Linked DNA regions of Lepisosteus oculatus. The protein of the gene in region 1 purifies or fractionates together with the protein of each later gene. This does not show direct contact. Links are inferred from orthologs where the notes say so. Each region holds a gene or a part of one and is shown in the gene's direction. Other genes may lie near its edges. The genes, in order: ptpn3, vangl1 and vangl2.

The links.
Region 2: the proteins of ptpn3 (region 1) and vangl1 purify together in Homo sapiens (affinity purification with mass spectrometry; 4 studies listed by BioGRID and IntAct, with this or other methods). This does not show direct contact. The link is inferred for Lepisosteus oculatus from reciprocal best matches to the Homo sapiens genes PTPN3 and VANGL1.
Region 3: the proteins of ptpn3 (region 1) and vangl2 purify together in Homo sapiens (affinity purification with mass spectrometry; 3 studies listed by BioGRID and IntAct, with this or other methods). This does not show direct contact. The link is inferred for Lepisosteus oculatus from reciprocal best matches to the Homo sapiens genes PTPN3 and VANGL2.

What each region holds. Positions count from the first base shown.
Region 1 is NC_090705.1:23,826,360-23,830,114, reverse strand, and holds the start of ptpn3 (tyrosine-protein phosphatase non-receptor type 3), read left to right. Parts: upstream 1-1,396; 5' UTR 1,397-1,507; coding exon 1,508-1,559; intron 1,560-3,755.
Region 2 is NC_090710.1:17,962,670-17,966,424, forward strand, and holds the start of vangl1 (vang-like protein 1), read left to right. Parts: upstream 1-1,250; 5' UTR 1,251-1,342; intron 1,343-1,386; exon of another isoform or gene 1,387-1,420; 5' UTR 1,421-1,502; intron 1,503-3,755.
Region 3 is NC_090699.1:8,407,563-8,411,317, reverse strand, and holds the start of vangl2 (vang-like protein 2), read left to right. Parts: upstream 1-1,640; 5' UTR 1,641-1,943; coding exon 1,944-2,014; intron 2,015-3,755. UniProt on the Homo sapiens protein: Involved in the control of early morphogenesis and patterning of both axial midline structures and the development of neural plate. Plays a role in the regulation of planar cell polarity, particularly in the orientation of stereociliary bundles in the cochlea.

The sequences.
Region 1 (3,755 bases):
CAACAAAACATATTTGTGTAAGGAGACTTTCTTTTCAGACATAACCTGTTATACTTACTCTGTACCTTACCCTTACCCTGTGAGTCCCTTTATGTACCAAATAAATCTAAATTAAATATAATTGTTGGACCTTCAATAATTAAGTAATCAACTCTATCCATGTGAACCTACTGTACATACAAAAATAGAGGTCTTAACAACCTCTAGTGGTGTCAGCAGAAATTACTACCTTCATTACTAATGGTCTGTCACAGTAACATATAATAGACACTTTGCTTTTTGTTATCAAACATGGTCACAAATGCTTTACATAACATGTGACATAAATAAAATAAATAAACTTCAAAATTAAAGAGTGATGTCAAACAAAAACTCTCAAAACGTGCTTTACGTAGGGCCAGGAAGATGTAGTAAATTGTACATCCCAAGATGTGAACAAAACATTTCATGAACCCAACAAACTTGGTATGACTCAAGGTTCTCCAATTTCAGGACCTTACTTAAAGTTTATAAAATGAACAACCTAAACATTAAAATAAGACGTCTAATCAGAACGCAAGTCAAAGTTGATCTGAAAATGTGACTGATGAGAACAAATTAGCGTGGTAAACTACAGAGATGTGTCTTCAGTTTAGAAGAAGGAAAGGGTGGAGGCCTTTGTTACAGTAATTGAGTTTCATATCTATTGCGGCACCAGGGCTGAGTCAGTGTCACTCAGCATAAAACAGCCCTGCAACAGGTGAGGAAATAGCACACTGTCCTCTGGGATTACATTAGCGCCACAACATAGATCATGCTTTTCCAAAGAAACCAAAGCAGCTTTGGTATTCTCAACACAGAAGTTTCACGTCTACTCTTGATACCTAGCTACAAGTAAATAACACATATGCCAAACAAGGACTAAACATAAACCTACAGCTGTTGGTTACCTAGGCTCATGTTCAGATAGAGAAGATATTATTGGTTGCATGTTCAAACATTGGAAAAATATCTAAGCCTCTGCATCACTACCAATACAATCATGCCACAGTGCACAAACAACTAAACGTGTTTCATTTTCAGTTCATGGACAATATAAAGTTTTCAGAGAATACAGAGGTAGGGTACTGTTTAAAAACCAGATGGTACATATTTAAATCCCACACTCTTCATTTCAGGAGGGAAATGATAAGTTCTTATTCATTTCAACCTATTTCCCAGTGCACCAGCATAGCTATTACTTCAGCATGTGTTGTTTTCCAACCCTAAAGAAGCAGGCTAGACATTTTAGGAGCCAACAGAAAGGGTGTGTGCTTTTAATTAAGCTGTTCTTTTGCAATGTGCAAGGACCTGTTCCTCTGGTTTGTACTGGAGAACTAATATACGAAAAAGAAAGGAAAGAAAAGGAGATTGGATGAAGACAGCCTTTTACTTGCTGTGCTGTTTGTACATCCTTGACTTTGATGATTCTATGCTGCATGGATTGAATAGCGAATAAATTGAGGATTATAAGATAAAGCAGGAGGCCATGGTGGAGGACCAAGGTGTGCATCAACAAGCCCCCTCACTGGAAGAAGAAGGTGAGTTCATTCCTCATGTATTTTGTCTTCTAGTAGCCAGCAGTGGTGTTCAAACACTAAAGGGTTGTTTTACTAAAACATGTGGACAGATGTCCATGTGGACAGCAGGTTGTCCACCATCTGTGCTTATAAATGTGAATACTCTCATAGATTTAGTTACATTAACATAAGGTCTCGAATATTTAAAGCACCACAACATATTTTGGTTATAGTTAAATACATAAAATTAAGTAGCACTGATTGGTGAAGGCTATGTAAGACCTATGAACTTTACAGGGTATAGACTAGATGTTGTTTAGTATTAATTTTTAGAATACATATTTGTTTAGAAAAAACTTTGTGTTAATCATAGCATTATGATTTTTTTTTCTGTGATATGAGTAAAATACAGGCAATAGATGTCTGTCCTGGCTTTAAGGGTACAAAGTGCACTTTCTATCTTTACAGGCTTCTATCATAAAAAGGAAGCCATTATAATTTATGGTCCTAAGAATACAGTATGGGAGTTTTAGCTAATCTTACTCAAATTTAAGTAAAACTACTTATGTACAGTATATGGATAAAACTGATTATTCTTTACGACTCTTTACTTACTAATGATCTAATACGCTCTACATGTATACATGCATAGTAAGTGGGAAATGTTTAAATGTAGCCCAGCATTTTGCAGTAATGGCTTTGATTGCAATGTAAAAGTGATTGTCAGAAAATGGCTCAATAAATCCTGTCATATGTTTTACCTGTCTATCGGTGAACTCCCAGTAAAGTCAACTAGGATAATTGCCATCATTTGTACAGGGGTGCTTTGAAGTGATCTTAAATGGGCCTAACTGTGTTTTGATGACAGTGATAATAACTTCAATGCAGAAGCAGATAATTGGTCTCCTTGTTCATGTCTGCTGGTGAGTAGCTGAAAAGGGCAAGTGGTTCACAGCGGCTAATCACTCTAATGTAGCAGAATTACTGCTTTTTATACACCATTTAGGTAAACATGAATTTCATTTATAATGCCACCCTTTTTAAAGCTGGAACACAGTATGTGAGATGTGGGACATAATGTACACAATAGAGCAGTCAGAACAAGTCTTCCCCAGTGAGCCTTATGGTGTGCAAGAGTTATATGAAAAAGTAAACAAGGAAAGCATAAAACAGGACTCTTTTTGTGGTAGAAATTAAAATTCCAAGGTGAACATAGGAGTTTAATGTTATTAACTGTACTAATTAAAAATAAATGCTTAAATAGTGCCTGTATCTAATTGGTAACTGTGCAGCTTTTGCTCCTTAAGTAATCAAAACTAAACATTTTCTAACACACCCACACACACTAGTATTTACTGTATGTGTGCAGACACTCAAACTGAATTTGGTATTGTATTGCTTATAGCTATTTTCATAATGACTGTTTCAGATCTGCTAAACTATACTGTACTCCATTAATTCAAATAAACTCCAAAAACGTTCTTTAAAATTATCATTTTAATGTACAGTATACTATGTATGCCCAACATTTTCTATAGAAGAAAGTATAAACTGTTCTAAATAAAACAAAAGAAAAATCAAAGATCACAGAAAGAATTCCAGTTTTCTATATTGATACCAATTTGCAGAAACACCCAAAATGTAATTCACGTTTATAGAAGACAACACCCTTCGGAAATGCGTTTAATAATACACTTCCAAAACCACTTTGAAAAATGGCAGCATTTACATAACATTGCCGCCAGGGGAGCCCCTTCTACCTTCCACCCGTTCTGTCCTGCGACAAAACAAAATCTCATACGATAGTTGGATGAGTTTTCAGAAATTTAACTTTCTTTTCTTCAAACACAATCATGCCGGGGACTTTTGGCGATTATTATTGGCAAAATATTGAGAAAAAAAATCAACAACACCACACGTAATCATCGCATGTTTCTCTGAGGGAAAGTAAATGATACATGTTTATTTACATCCTCATACAGCTACATACGTAGGTAGACAGAATTTAATGTCCAGGAAACAGCAGGAAAAGTATTATTTTTTTGTAAGCAGAAAGGTAACAATTAAGACAAAATATTACAGAAAAAATAAATAGTAATTATAATTGCGAATACAGTCAATCTGTATAGTGACATATTTGTACAAAAATACCATAATTGTTTTATTGTTTTAAGAAATTTAAGTTATGCATAAACACAGACTCTATTTCCACGGACG
Region 2 (3,755 bases), on another chromosome or scaffold:
ATTTTCGTGATGAGAGCTGTGGTGTCAGACTGGGAGCCTGCTAGATTTGTTCATCTCACGTGTGACAGATGGTGGCATTATCAGTATGCATTCATTATTTAGTATTTTATGGGTTTCTGAAAATAATAAAAGCCACTATTCCATAGGGGTATTTATAGTGACATATCACTACGTCTAAATTTAGTTGGATTCCATAAAACACTTTTTGCAGTGCAAAAGTAAATATCCTTAGCCTATCGCTTTATCTACGCATTCGGTTATTTTGCTTCTTTTGACTTGTTTGGCGTGAAAAACCCGAGAGTTTTTAAAGCTATTTTTTTTTTCGTTTTCTGTATAAACTGAGAGGTCGGTTGCTGTGTTCGCAAAGTACATTTTCGCATTTGAAACATCCCTCTCACGTCGCTCTCCCTCGTATTTTTCATTTGCTAAATTACATTAAAGTAGTGATGTTGACATTTCTATTCAAACCTGTTCTAGCATGATGTTAGTAAATATTGGCTTTACCAATAGCTGTTGTGTTGCCGAAAGGAGTATGGGTATAAAATGCTTAATTGAAAAATGCATTACATGTTATGTCATCCAATAATAATCTAAAACACATTTTTCATAATTTGTTAATCTAAATATCAATTTTCTTAAATAAAAGAAATACGTGTAGCTTGTTATCAACGCGAGTATTAACAGTTGCAAATCTAAATTTACGTAGCCTTTGTGTGATATTATGATATCATATGATTGCATTGATCTGGGCCCTGAGTTCGAGAACACTTCCACTGTCTTATTGAACGAATTTGACGCTATGTTTCAGTCTCTGGGCTGATATTGCCTATCCGCATCAGTTTATAAGATAGGCCTATATGAAACAGACATCTGCTATTCCAGTTGTTTCACAATAAAGGAAGCACGTCATAAATTGCAATATGAGCTGCCAGGCGCATGTGAGCCTTGGGCTGTATTCAATAAAATGTTTTTTTTTTCCTTTCAGTTATTCTTTCTCACTATAAAGCAAAAGAAAACTGAAGATGATGCTGAGCCCTGACCAACCCGACTCCGACCATCCGTGGGCTCAGTCCGATGCTGAATCGGTACTAAACGATATGAAAGTCGGGTGCGTTTCCGACGAGCCCGGAGAAGGGGACGGAAAGACTAGAGCGCTGGCCCCCCAAACCTTAAGCCGGGAGGAGAAGCGCAGGAGGCGGCGAGCGACAGCAAAGTACCGCTCGGCACACGCCACAAGAGAGAGGATCCGGGTCGAAGCTTTTAACGTGGCTTTTGCTGAACTGAGAAAGTTACTCCCCACACTGCCCCCGGATAAGAAGCTGTCCAAGATTGAAATTCTAAGGTTAGCAATTTGCTACATCTCTTATCTGAACCATGTACTGGACGTTTAGTGACTTTATGAATTTTACTTTTGAAAAAGCGGAATACGAAGAAGAAAGAAAAATCAAAGTACATTTGGCTCCCGCGGGATGGAAATGTGGAAGAAAAGAACAACTTCACCGGTATTGTAACTTCAGTATTTTCGTTTAAGAAACAGCGGCAGTGTTTACAGAGAAATTAGAAAGGAAGGCGCGCTGCTGTTGTCGACTCCAAGCCCAAATTCTCCGGCAAAGCAAAAGCAGAATTTCCCAGTATATGAAAAAGAACCGATACCTGTAAACACAATCTGTTGTTAAACTAGCGAAACAAGAATGCAATAATTTAGGGGATACGAAAGATCTCTAGACAGGGTCTTGGATACATTCTTTCACAAATTCATCTAGAACTTGTCCCAGATATTTGTAACGTTTTTGACTTTAGTTACGAAAAGTCCATTCGGAGTGGTAAATTTCAAAAGATGGACACGATTTAGACGAAAGAGGGGAAATAGCTGCTTAATAATATGTAGTTACGATTTCCTAAAAGAGGAAAAATAAATGAAAATATTTAAGTGCCACTTCTTCTTAAAATACATCAGAATTGTGACCTTAATATTTATTTATTATCTTTGCTTCTAGATTTATATTATTTATTTATATTGCTGTTTTTATTTTATTTTTTTACAGTCCGTGTCTTTTGTATGACCCGTTGTTTACATTTAAATGTGTATGTATAATTATCTATATTTTAGTCTGTGTTTTTGGAGTATAAAAGTGATATTTTTGCTCTCCTATTGCACTTGTCAGTGGTTATTTTTATGTTGAAAGTATGTTGTAAATTGAATCGTATGTCAATGTTTTTTTGGGGTTTTCATCTGTCCATGGCAACGATAAGCACTTCTATCTGGGTAGAACCCTTAGATAACTTGTTGATATCAACATTGTTTAAACGTAGCTTTTTTTCTGAAAAACGTCTTAAGGGGATGGCTGCTTGGAATTTAATATTACACAAAACTCATTGGTCCCAAAAGGCAATAAAAATGAAGTCTTTCTCCATTCACAATTGTCATGCACAAGACTGAGATTTGGATCTTATGAGTCCGACAAACACGGCTGGAGCTTTCAGTTCAGTTTTGAAAGTCTTGGGATATAGCTCCCTCGACCAAGGTTAAATTCCAGGTTGCCTTTCCTTTGCTGCGACCAAAAATAGGAATTTTCGATTAAGTCTGTGGGTTGTTTTTTTAGTTTGTTTTTAATTACGTGTGAGTGTCTCTGCTGTGAACCTCTTTAATACAATAACTGATTTTATAGTGAGGAAAAACGACATATCTGCTATCCAAAGATTTTTGTCTTTCAGGGTTTTTATCGTGTCTTCGTTGCTTTATAGCACATATTTTGTAGTGAAGTAGCTATAATAAGCTGGTTTCTAACGAACACAGTTTTTCATATCTTAATGGTGAGCTGTTTTGAAAATAAATATCTAAAAAAGTAATTGTCTGTTTTTTGTATTAATTTCTGTATCTTAATAAGCTATCGTCCTTTTACAGTTACTACAGAGAGATGGTCTAATCCACACATGGCATGCAGGGAAGACAAAATATACAATTCGCTCTTCAGTCAATCTGACAGTTTTAAGAGGTTACAGCCTCATTCATTCGTTTTAGAAATACAGGCAAAATCTTAATTCACTTATGACAGTTTAATTAAAACAAATTATTTGTGATTCAGTGCTTAGAGTATCCTTTCTCTGATTCCTTTTCCTTATTGTTGTTGTTGTTGTTGTTGTTGTTGTTGTTGTTGTCAATTGTATCATATACTGTAGTTTTGAGACAACTATGAAACACGTGCTTTCAGATACTTTTAGATTTATATTTTAAACAAGCTGTACTGCAATACCAATCTCGCAGATTAAAGAGTTAAATCGAGTCCAGGGCTGCGTCCTATAGCCAGATCTGTGGAACTACTTTAATTCAATTTTGTAACTTTAGTTTACTGGATTTACAGTCGTTAAAAATACTAAATTCAAATACTGTATAACTGAATTTTTTTCCTATGATAGGTGTCTTACACGGCAATGGATTTATGAAAAAAGATATAGGTTTTCCGGTTATTGACGGCTGTTTTTTTAAATGGGATGCGTTTCATCTCGTTTAAATAATTACAAAGGGTGTGAAAATCAAGTACTCAGAAGTTATTCCGGCGCGTACGGGTGAATATCTTTTTGTCGAAAGGCATGGAAATGATGGTCACTGTGAATGAGTGATTTCGGTATGCGTGTGTCTGCTACTCTTCCCCTTTGGATGAAACGTGCTCTCCCCAGAGAGGGGGCAGGTGTTACTCCAGACGAGCCAAGACAACCACATTACTGGCCGTCTGTCACCTCCCGTGGGAAAAAAA
Region 3 (3,755 bases), on another chromosome or scaffold:
GTGTGTGTGTGTGTGTGTGTGTGTGTGGCATCCTGTACAGGGTGTACCCTGCTTTGCGTCAGTTGCTTGCTGGGATAGGCTCTTACTCCCCAGCAGCCCTGAATTGGGAGAAGCAGTTTAGAAGGTGGATGCATAGATGGTTCCAATAAATACTGAAACATTGCTGCTCAATGCTTCTTGTTTTTCTTCCAAAAGCCTTTTAGAATCTTTTCAACCCTTTTTTTGTGCTTATCATGCATGCGGGGCATAATATTGACCTATAATCCTGGACTTGGCTCAACGTGGAGGGGGAGGACTGCACCACACAAGGGATGTTAAGTCCCTCTCTCTGAAAGCTATAGCTGTTTGCGGTTCCATAACAGCTCAGACTCTTCACTAGTGGAGGGCCTAGAAGTGGTGGTCAATTAGGCCAGTTAAGTCATTGAAGAGGTTCGAGAGGGGGGAGCTGAAGGTAAAAGGTTCCACGCTGTAAAACAAAGCAAAAAGCGTCCCAGCTGTTGGACTTCTTCACACACTTCACCTTTGCTGTCATTCAGCCAGAAGTCGGCTGCTCGTCTGTCCTCGACATTAGAAATGCTTCTTGTTGGACGAGGCTTTTTTTTTCCCTTCCCACTCCCACCTCGGTGCCAAAAGCACAATAATGACTTCTTTTGTTAGCTGTTTTTTTTTCTTTCCATCTGCTGCTTTCTCGACTCGGCCCCGGAGGTGGTCAGTCGATGGCTCCCAGCTGGTCTTGTCCACTCATTTCAACGGCAGAGGGAGCAGTGCTGAGTGAGCCCCCTTCCAACCACACTGGGTGAAAGTGACGTAGACAGTGTCCTCGATAGTGGCATCGCTGTATGCTCCAGCATTACTGCTGTTCATAACAAAGAGACACTACAAAGGCTTGTGGCAACGGCACAGAGGATTATAGGGTGCGATTTACCATCGATCAGTGAGATTCACGCGATCCGCTGCCTCAGTAAAGCCCGGTCCATCATTCAGGATCCCAACCATCCCGGCCACAAACTGTTCTCCCCCCTGTGCTCTGGCAAGCGGTACCGCACTGTTAAAGCACAGACCACTAGGCTGTAGAACAGCTCCTACCTTAAGGCAGTTTATATCCTTAACAGCTAACTGTAAGGCCTCCGAATTCAATGCACCTCTGCTCCTGTTGTGTGGACTGCCATGTTTTTTTTCCCCCCACTAGCACGTTTATTGTTCTCTCCAACATATTTATTCTGTTGTTACTAGCTATTGTGCACAATCCTGTAATGTTCTGTCTTCATTGTGTTGTTGTCTGTCATATTGCCATCTTATGTACTGTGTATGTGCCGAGAGACTGTTTGAAACAAGAATTCCAGGGTACACATACAAACTCCAAAACACTCCTCTCGGCTCTCTCTCCTCTCTACAGCTGCTACCCACTCGACAGTTCTCGGACACCTTTTCTGCGATTGCCTGTTACTTGTTCCGTTAACATGTTGATTGATTCAGTCATGTCTGAACTCTGAAGTAGAGGCGGCAGCTCAAGATCAGGGATCGAGAGTCAGGGGTGCTGATCCCCCTGAGGTCATACAACACAGGACCTTGTTGAGTCGCATCTAAATCCCACCTGGCTTAATGACCACCCCCCCACCCCCCTTCTGTCTTTTTTCCAGGCTCGTCCCCAGCTCCTGGGATTCTCCGGCCCCAGTGTTCGCCCGGGCTTCAAAATAGATTCTCTCAGGAGCAAAGTCGACCTCCTGAAGCTGCCCCTGTCCCTCTCTGCCAAGGCGGTCGGCACTCGGAAGCTGAAGGAGGGGGGTCCGCCGGGGCGCAGTGGGAACGGCCAGAGGGAGGAGGGAGGCAGAGGAGGAGGAGGAGGCGGCGGCGGCGGCGGCGGAGGAGGAGGGGGAGGCGGGGGGACCGGCCACCGCCCCCGCAAGCCCACCTTGAGCGAGGAGAAGTCTCGGAGCAGCACCATGGACACAGAGTCGCAGTACTCGGGCTACTCCTACAAGTCCAGCCACTCGCGCAGTTCACGGAAACACAGGTAAACGCGGGCGAGGGCCCCAAGACCGCGGGTTGACCCCCTACGTCATAGAGCCATCCCGTGACACCGCTGCGGCTGTACATGCCGCCGGAGGTAAAACAGGATCTCGCACACGGGGACCGAACGGCGGACTTCACTTCGTTCCGCTGGTTCTGGGCTTCTCAACGTTTTGAGGCCTTTGTGACAACGTTGTGCGTTAGTGGAGCTTTTCAGTGGCAACCTCTCGTCTGCGGAATATTGTTTCGTTAAAACCCCTCCTGCTGCTGACGTTTCAGAATTTCACCTCAAGACGTGCTGGTTTCTGATGGCCTTCAATTTACATTCGGTTCCTCTGTTTTCATTTCATGTTCACACATGGTTTCACTTCCTTTTCGTTTTTGTTTACTGTCCTCGACTTGCAACTGTAAAGTACCAGTATAAGAGTGCAGTCGATTGGACGGAGATGCTTTGCAATACAAGTGTGTTGCAATTGCTTTTTAAATACTTTTATCACCTGACTGGTGGAATTCATCTAATAACCAATTTCTACTGTAAAATAGTTTTATAGAAACGTGGTGTAAGAAAACCCTGATTGTCACCATGTGACACTTCTATGCATTTCCCATTGTTATGTATCCATCCACTTTCTAACTGCTTTATTCAGTACAGGGTCATGGGGAAATCTGGACCCTATCCCAGCACGCAACTGGCGCAACTGGTGCTATTGCAGGGCACACACACAAACACAGACATACACACTCATACACAGGACCTAGAAACCAATTAGCCTACCAGCATGTCTCTGGACCGTGGACAAGAAACCCAAGTGAGCACAGGGAGAACATACAACCTCCATGGAGATAGCGCTCCAGGAATTGACCCCAGGGTTCCATATCTGGTGCCACTGTGCTGCCCACACACTTGTTTCTAGCATCATTAAAATACAAGTAGTTTAATGAGGTTAAACTTAAATAGGTGAACCTGCTGCTAAATAGTCCATCACAAGACTAAAAGTGCACCCAAACCTTGGGTCACGCTGTTCCCGAGCTGCTCCCCACAGCCAAGGGTTCTAATAAGTTGCGGTGCTGGATTGGTGGCAACATCCTGATGTGTGGATTGTCAAGTAAAGGTTCTGAAGAAATAAGAGGAGAATGCAAGCTTTCGAAGGCTCACAATCTTGTAGGGCGTGTGTCAGATGTTTTTGACATGCCTTGTCTGGATTGGCGGACCACTAAAAGAGCACAGAGTCTTAGTAATGAGCTGACGTGATCAATCACTTGGGCATCTCTTGGTGCTCCTAATTGGTTTGCGATGAACTCTGGAGACATCCCTGGGAATGACCCTAATTAGGTTTTCTCCCGTTTCTGTTGGACGCCAGCTGTTGAACACAAGGCGTTGTAGCAGCAGCACCATCTCAGCAGTAGGGAACCTTCCAAATTCTTTCATCTCTGGTATTTTGCAGACCAACCCCCCCACCACCACCACCAGTGTGAGCACAGTGCAACATCTGTCCGGCCCGAGATTAATCTTAGGCGGATTAGGGCATTGCGTCATCTGGGGAGATCTGATCGTTTCATCCATCAAGCATATGAAAAAAAGTGTCTGATTCTGTAAAAAAAAAAGGCAGTTTTAGACTTATTTTTTTCAACTGAGACAGCACAGTGGGGTTGCAGTACGAATACAGGATGGAGCCAGGTTAAGGTGCAGTGGGGATTGGGGTCTCATCATTTGTCTCGTGGATTATGTGAAAAATCTACAAGTT